Linked DNA regions of Arabidopsis thaliana. The protein of the gene in region 2 binds, or shares a complex with, the protein of the main gene of each other region. Each region holds a gene or a part of one and is shown on either strand. Other genes may lie near its edges.

Evidence for each region.
Region 1: COP9 (region 2) and CSN5B share a complex: the UniProt entries of both Arabidopsis thaliana proteins name them as parts of the CSN complex.
Region 3: COP9 (region 2) and COP8 share a complex: the UniProt entries of both Arabidopsis thaliana proteins name them as parts of the CSN complex.

The regions. Positions count from the first base shown.
Region 1 is NC_003070.9:26,850,620-26,855,007, reverse strand, and holds CSN5B (COP9-signalosome 5B), read right to left. Parts: upstream 2,603-4,388; 5' UTR 2,449-2,602; coding exon 2,059-2,448; intron 1,949-2,058; coding exon 1,667-1,948; intron 1,596-1,666; coding exon 1,448-1,595; intron 1,344-1,447; coding exon 1,258-1,343; intron 1,016-1,257; coding exon 938-1,015; intron 846-937; coding exon 753-845; 3' UTR 589-752; downstream 1-588. Other genes in the region: AT1G71235 (uncharacterized protein), read right to left, coding at 203-449; EBS1 (EMS-MUTAGENIZED BRI1 SUPPRESSOR 1), read right to left, coding at 3,278-3,472, 3,547-3,699, 3,876-3,990, 4,063-4,106, 4,186-4,326. UniProt on the Arabidopsis thaliana protein: Probable protease subunit of the COP9 signalosome complex (CSN), a complex involved in various cellular and developmental processes such as photomorphogenesis and auxin and jasmonate responses.
Region 2 is NC_003075.7:8,132,289-8,136,715, forward strand, and holds COP9 (COP9 signalosome, subunit CSN8), read right to left. Parts: upstream 2,701-4,427; 5' UTR 2,580-2,700; coding exon 2,496-2,579; intron 2,388-2,495; coding exon 2,308-2,387; intron 1,934-2,307; coding exon 1,752-1,933; intron 1,244-1,751; coding exon 1,136-1,243; intron 901-1,135; coding exon 761-900; 3' UTR 592-760; downstream 1-591. Other genes in the region: AT4G14120 (uncharacterized protein), read left to right, coding at 2,897-3,263, 3,402-3,610, 3,711-3,959, 4,049-4,142, 4,337-4,427. UniProt on the Arabidopsis thaliana protein: Component of the COP9 signalosome complex (CSN), a complex involved in various cellular and developmental processes such as photomorphogenesis and auxin and jasmonate responses.
Region 3 is NC_003076.8:17,236,565-17,242,589, forward strand, and holds COP8 (Proteasome component (PCI) domain protein), read right to left. Parts: upstream 4,253-6,025; 5' UTR 4,086-4,252; coding exon 3,956-4,085; intron 3,818-3,955; coding exon 3,666-3,817; intron 3,396-3,665; coding exon 3,292-3,395; intron 3,204-3,291; coding exon 3,143-3,203; intron 2,686-3,142; coding exon 2,593-2,685; intron 2,505-2,592; coding exon 2,404-2,504; intron 2,163-2,403; coding exon 2,054-2,162; intron 1,969-2,053; coding exon 1,924-1,968; intron 1,701-1,923; coding exon 1,632-1,700; intron 1,535-1,631; coding exon 1,443-1,534; intron 1,369-1,442; coding exon 1,266-1,368; intron 1,143-1,265; coding exon 1,083-1,142; intron 981-1,082; coding exon 906-980; 3' UTR 589-905; downstream 1-588. Other genes in the region: AT5G42965 (Polynucleotidyl transferase, ribonuclease H-like superfamily protein), read left to right, coding at 172-561. UniProt on the Arabidopsis thaliana protein: Component of the COP9 signalosome complex (CSN), a complex involved in various cellular and developmental processes such as photomorphogenesis and auxin and jasmonate responses.

The sequences.
Region 1 (4,388 bases), on a different chromosome or scaffold from region 2:
GCTCCCATGTTGAACCATTGTTCATAGCAAAACGTGGTATAAATTTATCACGTACATAGTTCCTTCGATGCCGTTCTTTAACCAGTTTCCAAACCCCTTGGTCGGGCACGAACAGCGCGAGAAACAGCCATATGCTATGTTTCTCGCTACATGTCAAATTTGTAGGAAACATATCCGTGCGGAGCTATAGACAATAACTGACTGTTTTCTTGAAGGTTTGGTATCCCCGGACTTCCACGAAGCTCCGGATAACTAAGGCTTTCTAAGATTCTCCGCAATACTACGTCTTCAAGTGTATAAGTTTGCCATGTTGTGTGAAGTGCGTTCTTGATAAGCTTGTTGAAGATGGTCAGGTTGGCAGTACATAGCTCCTTGTGGGCGTCGTCGTCGACAGTCCCATAAGGAACACTTTTCATCAACAAACAAAGACAGAGAAAGATGATTGCCATTGTTAGCCATGTTTTAGTACCACCTATTCACGGACAACGTGAGTGCAGAGAAGGAAAGAGAGAGGGGATAGAGTTGGAAAAGATCACTAGGTTTCTGATTTCCATAAATACAATTTTTGTTTAAGGGCTTAAGATTATTCCTTTAACCCCGACGAATCGAATGGGCTTAAAAACATTTCTTTAACCAAAATCTTCTTCTGTATTATTCTCATTAGCATTATAATTCTTTACACAACAGAAAATAAATGAAAGGACAACAAATGATGGGTCAATCCAAAACTAGAAACCAAAAGAAGAGCAACTTCAATATGTAATCATAGGGTCTGGATCCGACGAGTCAGTGGGAGATTTGTTGTTGGACTGACGCATTGAGTTGAATAATTCATCTTTTATGACCTACAAGTACAACAATGATGGATTTTGAGTCTGTGAAATACACGAACCTTAAGGGAGATATGTCACCATTTCGTTTCAATATTATTACTCACCTGCGACATTAGTCCATGGACCTGTTCCACAGTTATCTTTGCGCTATCCCGAGTTATCTTAGTTAGTTGAGACTCATCCTGAAAGTGATTTAGAACACACGTCAAATGAGATCTTTAACAAGCAACACCCATTAACATTCTCGAAAGTTATATATCTGTACAACCTTCAACAACACTTTCATTTCAACTAAACAGAACACCTCCAGGTCCCAATAACCAAAACATTTGAAGATATATCCTCTTAGTAGCTAGATGTTTACAGAGGCACTTAACTAGCCACCGTAATCGCAATTAAAATTTGATGAACCACTAGGACATACCTCTTTTTTCTTATGAAGGGATGATGGCACAACTCCTCCAAAGCGAGACTGAACCAGATGACTCTCGGCTTGCTCAAGCTTCTCAGCTTCATTGGTAAAATTACGAAAACGATTATATAACACATTACTTGACTGTGACTTGAGAAAAAAAAGTAAGAGTGAATGATTTAGGCCATATCCAAGAGTTTACCTAAGTCTGATATTTGTCCAGCAACATAGTCTCCATTACCCAGCAGTGGAGAAGAAGAAAGAGTGTTCACCCAGTACTTGTTCCATAGTAGATCCAGAAGGTGAGAATCAAGAGATGACTTGAAATAAGTGACATCTAATGAATAGTACTGCCAAAACCAAAAGCCAAACATAAGAATCATGTTGGGACCTTGCACCGAGAAAAATCAAGAAAATGTACCTGTTTGCAGTGAACACCAAAGTCCTCAATCTTATTTAAAGGAATAGTTTGATACTCAGAAACAGGTTCATCTGGAGGCTTATATCCTTTAGAGTATGTTCTGAAAGCACCAATCTCAACCTTACCAGCTGAAACAGTCCTTGTGGGATCAATAACAACAGCTAAAAATGGCTCCTGATGCTGTTGGTTAAGCCTCTGCGTAGAAACATCAATACCGGAGAGCCAGCATCCATATCCAGGGTGAGAGTGATACCATCCAACAACATTCTCCAGCCGCCCCGCCTTATAAAGGTCAAGTTATTATAACCATAATCAATCAAACTGTTCTGACTTATATACAAACTTTCTAAAGAAAAAAATCAAAACTTTGAAGTTTCTTGAATCTCACTTACGAGCTTGTTGGTCTGTGAATACTCAACCATGTACTCATAAGCATCATCCTGAGCATTAACCCTTGTCTCAGTACCTTCCACTGGTAAAGCAAAAGCATCCATAACAATGATAGTATCACCATCGGTCTTACCTTGCATAAGACCCATTATTTCAATTGTACCACCAGAGCGAGCGTGAACCACCATCTTAAGAAGAGCGAGCGCTGAGATCTTGACTCGTTTAAAGTAGTGAGGATCATTCTCCCACGGTTTCTCTTGCTGGAACCTAGTCTGTGAAGTATCGTCGTAGTAGAAGATGTTGTCGGAGGTTGAATCAGGTGAGTCTACTGTTAGAATGCTGTTCTCTAGTTCCCATGTCTTCCTTGCTATCGTCGACGACGAACCCTCCATTCTTTTTCGAATTAGGAATTCAGTTGCAGAAATCTAGGGTTTCATACGGAATCGATGGAGTGTGATCGATCTGTCTGCTGAAGAATTGAAAACTGTGTCAAAAATGTTACTTCGGGGATTGACTTATATATAAGAAGAGAAAAGTGGTGAAAATTAATTCCTCTGGATTCTTCTCTAATTTAGAAATAAAATTTAAAATCCTTTTAGTTTGTTTTTTTTTTTTTTTTTTTGACGGTATTAAAATCTTTTAATTGAATAACACAAAATTTTAAAATCTATTAAACATGATTTACAAAGATATAAACTCCAATAACACTAAATTTTAAAATTGAATTTAAAATCATTAATTAAATAACAGTGTATTAGTGTTGGATTTCTTTCTATTAAAATCCATTAATAAATAACGTCCCCTTGTAAAACCGTAGATTTCTTCCCTCTTCTAAAATAATTTATTGAATTACTTCAGCTTTTCTATCAGAGTGTCAGACCCTTTGCTAAAAGAACACGTATTGCTTTTTATACAGACACTGACACGTCAGTTTTCCGGTTCGGTTTTTTTACTGGTTTGTCGGTTTGGTTTGATTTGAGATTTTGGACGGACGAGTTTACAAATACGTTATGAGTGACTATGTTTGTAATTGATTCAAAATCATATTATACTGATATTCTTATTCTCCTGCAATCTGTTGACTTTATCTTCTGTCTAATTTATGTGAGAGATGTCTAAGAAACTGTAGCTACAAAACTAGAAACCTTATCTAGCAAATGCAAAATAGCCATGATTGTCTAATTTATCTTCTCCTCTTTTGAAACTTCAGGAGCATTGAATTTACAGTTCTGCTTTAGATTCCAAGTCTTGTTCTGTATCTTCAGAGATGTCATTTGATGGAAGAGGATTAGGCTTGTCTGTAGCAGGAGCAGCTACTGGCTCGTTGAGTTCCACATCTTCACCCAAGATTTTTGCTGTGAATTTTCGTGCTTCGAGATCAAGATCGGGCCATTCGGTTACGATTCTTCGGGCACCCTGCAGAAGAACACCGCATTATAACAAACAACGCTTTGTGAGTGTTGTAGATATGAGGAAAGCCATCATTTTACCTGAAGCTTTGGTTCCTTTGTCATGGGATTATTGCAAAGATCGATTGTTCTGGCCTTGGCTTTTGTGGCGTTTCCACACCAGGATTCACACCACAACCACTCTTGGGGAAGTGAAAATATAGGAACAGTATGCTGAGCATAATTAGGAAGATCCTGAAACAAAATAATGACATGCCATCAATATGTTTGAACCTGGAACTCTAAAGATTCAGAGCATGGTGTATGGTAAGAGTCAAATGCAAAAGCCTTTCAAATAAAGTAAAACGATAGTGTGACCACCAAAGAAAGGTTACAGCCCTAAGTATAGAGAACCATATTATACAACTTGCCTGATCTAGGTTGGACAAACTGTTTGGATCCTTGCTAAGCGTCTCATAGAATACTCTTAGATTATCTCCTGCCGCTGTCTCTCGGAACTTAACCAAGTCAACAACGTATAGAGCACTACAGATAGAACAAGGCACATTAAGAATGGGAAAAGCAACAACTTACTGAGGTTCAAGTAGGTTTTTTTACCTGATATGGTATGGCCTACCACGTAAATGTTCTTTCCAGAAACCCTGTTCAAAGCAATTGAGAATGTAAGAGTATGGAAACCAAAACTACCTCTACAAGCAAAACAAAAAGATTAATGTTTACCTGTTTCCAAAATTTATAGCCATCCATTTCCCTGTTGTTGTCACAAAAAGGAGTATACGCGAGAGGTCTTCCTTTAATATCCATATCATACAGTTCTCCCATGTCTGTCCTTATAATTTGATCTGCGTCGACAAATATAACCTACAGAACACATGTCGAATACCTTATAGTGACATCTTCCAAGCATCAAAATCGCAAGAAAG
Region 2 (4,427 bases):
AAATTTATGTTTACATTTGAGTATTTCTAACTATTACTCCTACTAATATTTGTTTTTTAAAATTTGTATTAATCTTTTGAAGAGTTTATTTCTAATATTTCTACAGTATCAATTTTTTTTTCTTTTTGTTTTCTAGACTTAATAATTATTTACTTTTTATATTTTTCATTATTTTTAAAAGGATGTTGATTATAACTACAAAAACTGCTTTTCACATAAACCAGTTTTAAAAATTATAAAAGAATAGTAAAATCTCTCAATAAATTTAAAATTGTTCATTTATCGATAATTTAATAATAAATTAAGAATTATTAATCTCTGATAACCCCAGCTTGTCATCTACTAGATCGACAAATGGCTCCTATTCTTCTAGAGTACCTCTCCGGTTTGAAGATTATCATCTTTTATCTCAGAGATTGGCTAGCTTGTTATAGTCGCTAAAATGATCTTCTCTTGTTTCTGCCTAATTTTGTTCTGAAAACGTGTGTTATTTAGGCTGTGTCCTTTTTGGCTCATAATATTGACTTCATCTTTTGTTTGTTTCAGTTCGTCTTTTGTGTAAACTGATCTTTTAAATGTTTGTTTTAGTTCGCCTGTTGGTGTAAACTGATCTTATAAGAGTAAAATTGGTAGGAGTTATTCATCATATACTCAAAGAGTCAAGATATGTTGCAACTTAGAATCAGTCATTGTGAAATCTCTCAAAAACGAATTCTGTTCTTAGAATTTCACTATCTTAATAGGAGATCGGCACTTAGTTTTAATGTTCAAGGTGGAACACATACTCCGTCAAGCGTTGTAGCTTCGATGAATCCACCTTTTGCTCTCTTTTAACAGCTTGTTTCTTCACACTCGCCATTTGAGAAGCTGCATCCACTGTCCATCCATTCTCTACAACATCTGTGTATATATCCAGCAATAAAGAAAACAATTATACTGTTAATTCTGATTCCGTAACATATATGGTTGTCATAAGATTCATGCCTACAATAACACTAAGCTAAGACATTGCCACAAACTCTTCGACATTTTTCAAAAGTATCAATATAAGAATCAATTCAGTAGAATTCAATAGAAATGTGAAATGAGGTACTTAATCTTTTGTAAGCAAAGGAAATTGCAGAAAGAAGCTTACAAGTTGTGGCATCATCCTCCGTCATCCCTAGGAAAAGAGCTAAATCATGGATGGTAATTGTGGAGTAGGCAGACAACAAAAGCTGAAACATCCTTTTTGTGTAAAGATCTACAACAAAACCAATTCAGAAATAGAATTAGAATCTGATGGAAAGTGACCCATAAAGGTCAGGTGTTGAACAATTGATGTGGAAAAAGGTACAACTTCACAAAATTCAGATCAACGTTTAGACATTTGGTTGGAAAAGTCTGTCAACTGCTTACTCGTTCCTCCTGTGTGAGTCTACCTACCTCTCTCTCAGTTAGACCACAGAAGCAACTACTTTCTAATGAAGAAGTGATAAGGCACATACATTGATGAAATTTGATTCAAATTCGAGTTCCAATAGTTCAATGATAAGATGAAAGGTGGTTCTGTGCATAACAGAAATCCTAAACTAGGCCTCACAAGTTAAAACAATAAAACAACTATTCGATCTCAATATGTATATCAAAGCTCAAAACCTAAAGAGGGATATGAAGTAATAAAAGTACACAACTACATAAGCAATCAACAAGCTTAGTTCAAGAAACCAATTCATACTAGCTAAGAAGTCATAAACAGAGAAAAAATTTACCTGAGAAGGCAGCAACCATATCTTTAGCTTCTTGACTCCAATCATAACCCCGAATAGCTTCATATACACCTGCATAGTCGTGTGTCCACAGCTTCTGACCAATCCCCCAAGCTGCAACAACTTCAGGCTTCCTCTCCTTGATAGCTGTAGGTATCCTTTTCCAGAGGAAACGTGCGCTATCACTGCAGTATTTCCAAACAAGCACAGCAAAACATCAAAACCAAATCCATAGTCAAGAAGGCACAACCATAACTCAATAGTTTCAACATACTACACTCACTATCAATACACAAAGGAAAAAAATGTTAAATGGGTCTCAACAACTACTAACTTGTGTCAAGTTTTAATTTTTCAAATCACTGGATAGAAACAAGGTAATGTAAAAAGCAGACTTTAGACCTTAGATTCAACCTAGGACCTAGCAATCGAAGTAGTAAGAACAACTTTGACGCGCTAAAATTCACAAGAGTTCAACGAAACAATCTCTAATTTCATAAAGGAACTAACTTTAGGTTCACAACGCAAACAAATACATCAAAGAAGAAAATAAACTCACCAATCGTCAACGTAAAAGTAACCCAGAAGATGGATTGCGTAAGGCCAATCATCATGATATTCAATTCCTTCGGAAGCAACCTATAAAAAAAATTAAGAAGCGATAAATCGAACGATTAACACCACAAAATCCACTTCACAAAACCCTAATGAACATCAGAAACAACGACAGCGAGAGAAATTACGAACCTGAAGCATGAGAGTATCGCAGATATCGGCGATTTTGTCAAAGGATTTGGCGGCCAAAGCTTCCTTAACAGGCGAAAGATCCATGACTTGTTTCGATTGCACTACTCTCGAAGCTTTTGCGAAGATGACAATTCTACTCCCAAAACCACTCCAGGGAAAAGAAAAATAAATTCTGTGAGATTTACAGGTTTTAATAATCTTTTCAATACGGTTTACTTAAACCGACCAAAAAATTGACCAAACACAAGAGGATAAATGGGCCAAGCCCACTAAGCCTTAGTTTCCCGCCAAACATCATAAAGCCACCCGGTCTGTTCCCGCCAAAATAACAAACAGTCTCTCTCACTCTCACACACACTCTCTCTCTCTCTCTGTAGCTCTCTCTTGGCGCGAGTTCTACCATGGCCGAATCAGATCCTATATTGAGGAAGAAGATGCGATTTTCGTCTTCTTCAGTTCGTTATACTACCTCTCAGAACCTTATGGCAAGCAAATTACGAACTCAGAGCAATCGTTCCTCCGTTCGATTTGCATCCCCATTGTCTCACATTGTCACGGATCTTCGTCACCATCATGCGTCACCGATCAAAGGGAAAATTGTTACTCAAATGCCCCGAACTTGTTCTCGTGTCACCGTGAAGAATCTGTGTCTCAGACGCGTATTCTCTCCTAGTTCCATCTCTAGTGATTGGGACTTTCATGTGAAAGGGGGAAATCTAACCAAGGAGCTAAATGTGGAATCTCCTTGCGATACTCCGAATTCTAATGGTAATTCTTATTTTAAGGTCTTTTTCTTGTACAAGTTTTTCTAAGAAAATTTAGGAGAATGTTGATATAATGAAGGTGGAATTAGGAAATTTCAATATCTGTTTAGAAACTATAATGATTACACAATGGTGAAAACAGTTATGAGAGAAGGAAGCAAATATCTTGTTGATGGATTAGTGGCTACTGGAGGTGATTTAGAAGTAGTGGAATGCTCACAAACGACGCCACCGGATTTAGGAATGTTCACCGGTGAGCTTTCTTTGGTGAAAAATGAAGCAGGTTCTATCAATCAAGAGATCAGTGAGGTCTCTGGGAAGAAAGTTGGTACCAATCTCGGCAGCAAAGTGGTATGTTTTTTACTCATGGTTTTATAGCAAATGATGCGTTTAAACTACAATATTGGCTTTTCGTTGGTTGCTTAATTTTCTTCTTGTGATATGTATACAGATTCGTCATCCGGAAAAGATTTTCAAGAACCCTGGCTCTGTGAGCTATAGAAGAATGCTTCCTTACTTGATGGAAGCTGCAGATGTTACCCGAGATGGTGATGCAAAAGATCCTAAGGATGAAAGAGGTGAATTGATGGCAGCAAATTACCGACTTCCTGAAACCGTATCTGCCAATAGCTTTGTTAAAGCTCATGGAAACAATAGCCCTTTCAAGAAGATGACTTCATCCAGTGGCAACAAAATTTCTGTATGATCTGTTTTTTTTTAAGAAGCTGCAGTCTTGTTCCTTATTTAAGAATCTGTTTTTGACATTTTCCCTGTTGTGACATGAAACAGCTGTGCTGCCGGCGCAAGCTATTTAAAGTGCCAGGTTCTGTAAATTACAGAAGAATGCTTTCATATCTCAAAGAGAACTCAGAGGATAATCATGGTTAGTCTCTTTATATTCATGTTTAGCACACGGTATAATTCAATGTCAGTACTAGTCAGATAATAATACTGTCTTCTGTGGCTTGGTAAATTGTAAGATAGTATAAATGCATGATATTAGCTTGTATTGAAATTATAAAGTCAGAATTGGTAGCCTTAGAAATTGATGTCTCTTTTCTTTCATTGTTCTTCTAGGAACTCCTGAAACCACGCATACAGATCCTCAGAAGAATATAGAGGAGAATGCTTCAGCTATTGAGGCTAAAGGGGCATCAAATGAAGTTAC
Region 3 (6,025 bases), on a different chromosome or scaffold from region 2:
GAAATTTTGTTGCAACAGTTTCTCATTATTATTACTAGCAGTTTCGTCTGTTATCATTGATCATTTCTTAAATTCGCATAAGTTTTGATCGTTCAAGAATAAAAATTAAACAACGAATGGGAAAATGTTATATGTAACTACTAGTTTCATCTGAGAAATCATGAGGGGAAAATGTTGTGGCTGGGACTTCGTGCAATCCCGAGAGTTCAGACAGTGTTGGAAGTGGAACTTGAAGCTATGAGATGGGCAGCTCTTTCAATGTCAAGATTTAACTATAAGAAAGTCATCTTTGAATCAGATTCCCAACATCTAGTGTCTCTGTTAGGGGATGATACTGATTATCCAAATTTGGCCCCAAGAATTCAGGACATTAGACATATATTCCAACAATTTGAGGAGGTGAAGGTGATGCATATAAAGCGTGAAGGAAACAGTGTGGCAGATAGAATTGCTAGGGAATCTCTTTCTTTATTGAATTATGATCCTAAAATGTATTCTAAAGGTGCCGGCTTGGATAAAAGATTGTGTGTATTCAGACTCTGTGTAATCACCGTTTGGTAAATGAGAAGTTGTTGTTGAGCCAAAAAAAAAAAAAAAACTACTAGTTTCATCATTCTCTTGCACAAGAAAGGTTCATCTATGCATAAAATAATTTGTTCTGAGGTAAAAATGTACCCTGAACCTCTTTTCAACTTTCTTAAAAATCCTCATTCAATGCCTAATCTTTTCCTCTCTGAATCAATTAACCTAAAGACATAGACATGAATTTGCAAGAAAGTAAATAAGGTGAAAATGACTGTCCCCAAAACACAGCAATTTGGCAAAAACTTTGGCATGAGACTCGATCCGTTGCTCGGCTAATACAAATTAATCATCATGAGGCGATCTCACGGCTTGGGAGTCAATCAGACAGGAACAGACATGCCTTTCTTGGCCATCCCATCCAGAATGTCATTGAGAGCTTGGCATAATCCCGATATCTGCACAGATTCCACTTTTCAGTCATATTCCACGCCAATAAAACAAACAATCATATATAGTTGCTCTAAAGAGACAAAGAGTGGGAGGGAGAGATAGAAAACCTGTTGATCCCATTGTTGTAGTTCCTCCACGTCATCCTCAAAATGAATCACAGCCTCCTCCTGAACAGTAACATAAAATATTAAAACACGTCTAGGAACCTCCTTCTAGAAAATCAACACTAACGAGAATTCTCTTCAGGGCTCTTACATAGCTCAACCAACAAAGTATTTTTTATTGCTTACCTGATCTATGGAACCCCTCATTCGGTCTTGCCCAATCATATTAGCTGCTATCTTCTCCGCTTTTCTTGGATCAATCGCCAACAGAGTTCCCAATTCATCAAACCTAGGATATAAAATAGTTGAGAAAATCAAACAAGTCTAGACACACAAAGAAGATACTAATTCGACATCTCATACCTTATGTTTGTGTAGAGTTTGCTTGCACTAAGAAGGTTATGCTCAATCATAGCACGGTCAAGAACAGTGGATTTGTCAGGCAAAGATGCTTTCTGTTGAAATCAACAGTGTAATAACTTGTTATGAACCTACTTACCAACTCAGATGTTATCCAAAAACTACATCTAAATCTTAATTCACAGTCCATACCTGATGTGGCCTTAGTTCTTCTGAAAAGGCATCAATCTCTGGTCTCCTTAAAATCCTTTCCAGATACACCTATAAAGTTGCATTAAAAAACAAAAAGTTACCATGCATTTCTAACCAAGCCTCTATAAGCTATGGTGAACTTGTTTGATTTGATAATGAATCAAATCTAATAAACATCATGCCGGCTTAAACAAGAGTAATATGTGAGTTCAAACAATACTATATGTCCAATAGCATGAAAATGTATGTTTGTCTACTAGAGGAAACAGTTGTAGGTAATAAGAGATAGAACCTTCTGCAGGATAGGATAAATCTTCAGCTTGGAGCAACGCTCATCCTGTTAATAGAAAGATATTGAGAAATAAAAAACAATAAATAAGCAAGCAGGAAAGTATTCTATTTGTAATCCAAAAGGGAATTACTTTGTATAAAGTTGCAAGAACACGAGAACGCTGAGGACCAGCTCCAGCTAATATGGTACATGTGACAGCAGCTGATAGGGCCTGCTCTAAAGCATTCTCATCAATCTCTCTGAAAAGATTAGAAAACACATTATAACCGTTTCAGAATATGAGATATCACAAAGGTATTGGAGAGAGAAAAGAGGAACACTATTCAATCACAGAGAGGGGAAAAGTAGGAAACTAGCTTTAAATACAGAGTCTCCAAAGATGGATAGAAGATTAATTAATCATTATTCCATCCGAACAAGAAACCAACAGAGGAGAATTTGAAGAAAAGATGTAGCAGAAAGATAAGTCAGTTCACTTACTCATCCCCTATTTGGCGTTGCTCAATCTGAGATATGCCGTAATACCGAAGTGCAGCCTCTAAAAACTTTCTTTTCATGTCCAAAATTCTAGCATAGCAGACCTGAAACAGAAATATATTAAAACTTGAAAACGAATGCTCCTTAATCACCCAGCACATAAATTCTTAGTTTACTTTAAGGTGGTCCAACCTTGTACTGCAAATTCAAAACTTCATTCTGACTATTGCTCACTAAGAAAGAAGCTTTATTTATAAAAGCCTCTGCATTTACAGCATCATCATCCTGAAAATTTCAAAACACAAAAGTATTAGAGAACAATAAAAATTTAACTAAATGTATTTATACAACTCTGCTAGCCTCAATTTACTCTCACAAGCAATAAATAAAAAAGTGATGTAGTGAAGCAGAATAATGCTCTTAACAGTCGATATTCCTAATTTCATGACACTTAGATTTGGTCAAGAGACTTAACTTTAAATAAAATCTCTCTAGAAAAATGTCCAAATATTTGAAGATTGAATCAACATTCAACAACGGGTTTCTTTTGTGCTTTTAAGATCTAACTTCTGTAACTGATTGACACGCACCCACAGAAGGAAACAAGACAAACTAGCTATAAATCATTACTGCGATGCGTAAATTCATCTCATAAACAGAGATAACCGATTTACATGCTTAAAAATTAATGAAAAGGACACAGAATCTATTGTGCATATGTACATGAAAGGGAAAGACAAACCTCGAGATACAAACGAGCAATTTGGATACACTTTGAAAGCTTGAAGTTGTCGTCAACGGCCCTAATAAAGAATTCCGCAAATCCAAAATAAGCAACACAAAAGAACATAGAGAGGAAACTAAAACAAAATTCTGCTCAATGCCACACACCTCATTCCAGAATCCAGATCAATTCCACTCAACATCTGTGCTGCTTTTGACCATTCCTGCTCTGATTCATACAAACCCGCAAGTTTTTCTCTGATAACAAGTGCCTGCAAATACACCACAAACAGTTTCATCTCTTAGAATAAAGAGATTGAAAAACAACACAACGTACATTGTCTCAGTTATCCCAAAATACAGCATCCTTAGTAAACAAATATCTCAAATTAGCTTTCAGTGTAGATTTCACATACCAAAGCGGTACAATAGCAAAGCGACTCTACATACCTCTCAACTTATGTTAAGTAGGTAAACTAATTAGGGTTTAAAAAGTACACGATTGCTGCTAAACAGTAAGGTATCACGAAGAGAAAACAAACCTGTTCCTCAAAGGAAACAACTCTAGGCTGAATCTGGGTAAGAGTAAATTGAGCAATCTCCTTCTGCGTCTCCGGTTCTAATCTCCCAAGCTCTTGTGCGAAAGACTGCAAAAGCTGCCTCGAAACCACCAACGGGACATCATCGGAAAGAACTGGAAAAATTGTGAGGAAGCAAAAATCAAAATCAAACCAGAAATTCTGATATAAACCGAATTCCATAAGAACAAAAAGCAGTTGTCGAATCTCTTATGAAGTTGAAACCATGAGAAAGAAGGGAGATGCGAAATTACTGTGATCGATGAATCTCTGAGCTTGGAGAAGATCGTTGGAAGAGAGAACAGAGGAGAGGATGAGTTTGTACTGTTCGATTTTCTGGCGTTGGTCACCGATTGCAGAAGCGTTCGTCAAAGCTTCATCCATGGCTTCTCTTCTGAGATTTTCTCTCCCGCTTCGATTGAAACCCTAAGAAACCTTACAAGGTTTTGATTTCTCTCTCGCTTTTTTTTTTTTTTTTTTTGGAGTTTGCTCTCTTTTTATATTAAAAAAATAAACGGGGACTAGATTCTGTGCCGGTGATCGGAGAGGCGCTTTACAAAATTTACTTAATATGGTCACAACTCATATGAGATTAGTACCCAAAATAAATTAAAATATATATATATATATATTAAGCATAAATACTATATTTTTTTTTGTTAGTTCATAAATTTTATAATTAATTTGTGATGGTAAGTTTACCAAATTGATTGTAGATTAAAAAAAAAAATCAACAAATAATATATTGTTTAGAAATATTTTTATATGTGAGCCTAAATTACTACAGTAAATCTTTTACACAAATAAAAAAACACGTCGTGATTTGGAAAACACGATGATGAGGTATTTTATGATGACAATACCACGTTTAATATTATGATACCAGATCGGAAAAAGATGATATGTTATGTGTTTTAGAGCTTAGGGAGCAATTTAAGATGGAAACGTAAATAATTATTTGTTGAGAAAGAATCGACTAGAAGCAATCGAAAAATTGATCGAATGGTCAAGATATGACCGAGAAGTCATCGGAAAAGTTGTGAGCCCAAATCTTGAGAGCAATGACATGCAAAATGTTTTGAAAGTGCTCTCATGAATTAAAAGTGAAAAAAGAACCACTCTCTCGTTACATAGAGGGTAGTATATAAAGAAATTTACCTATCTCAGACTAGGAAACCAAGTCTCGCATTGGAATACGACTTTGGTTTAAACATGTGAGCTGACTGACAAATCGATTTTATGTGCTTTACAACTTAGATATAACTGAACATATTGGTATTGGATGAGGTTGGACGATAGACTCATAGACACAATCGTTGTCTCGAAAAATCACGAGTTTCTCTCGCTTAAAGGATTTTTTTTGATGAAGTTTATGGTGATCCCGTTCGAGAACATCACAATTGTTTTTGAATCAACTTTACAGATCCATATTGTAACTAATGATTATAGACTACATAGTTTACCAAAATTACATTTACTCAAAAGAACAGATGCGGTTGTTGATGGCAAAACTTTTTTGGAATGGTAGACATCCCATTGAAAGAAAACAAATTGCCATGGTATGGAATTCATGATAATGATTTAACTCGTTATAGTCTGGACAAATTGTCATGGTAGGGTTTCATTGCTCTTTCTTTGGGTAGTTACCTCAAGATATCTCTTTGTTCTTCCTTGTGATAGTTCCACCTTGATATGTACAACCCCACATTAATCTGCTCATTTCAACATTAATTTTCTCTATTGTTTTTAAATTGTGTGTATAAGATTATTTCACTAACTAGGAAAACAATCCATTTCTTTGACACATGGGCTTTACTTAAACAAAAGCCCAATAACTTGTGTTTAGAAGTCACATGATCAAATCTCAAGACCTATTATAAATTAACAAATTTCATATTGATAAATTTTAAAAGATTTCCTATTACAATATTTAAAGTTGCTACAAATTATAGATTCTTTTGATCTTTTCTGATATTGTTTCTCAAATAAAATATAGGAATACCAAATTACAATATGAAAGTTGCTTCAAATTATAGATTCTTTTCTGATTTTGTTTCTCAAATAAAATATAGGACTGAACTACCAAAGGCAATAATATTCAATGTGACCAACAAAAAAAAAATAAAAAATAAAAAGAAATACTCAAATCTCATAACCTTTTTGACTAAATATATCAATTTCTTCTATTTTCAATGAGCATAAATTACACGCGTCCTCAGAAGCTGAATCCGATTTGCAATTCTTCAATCTCAACCGTTAGATCAACAAATCCGGCATCGAATTCCTCCGCGTGGTTTGGTCCATTTTTTTAATTTGAGTATTAA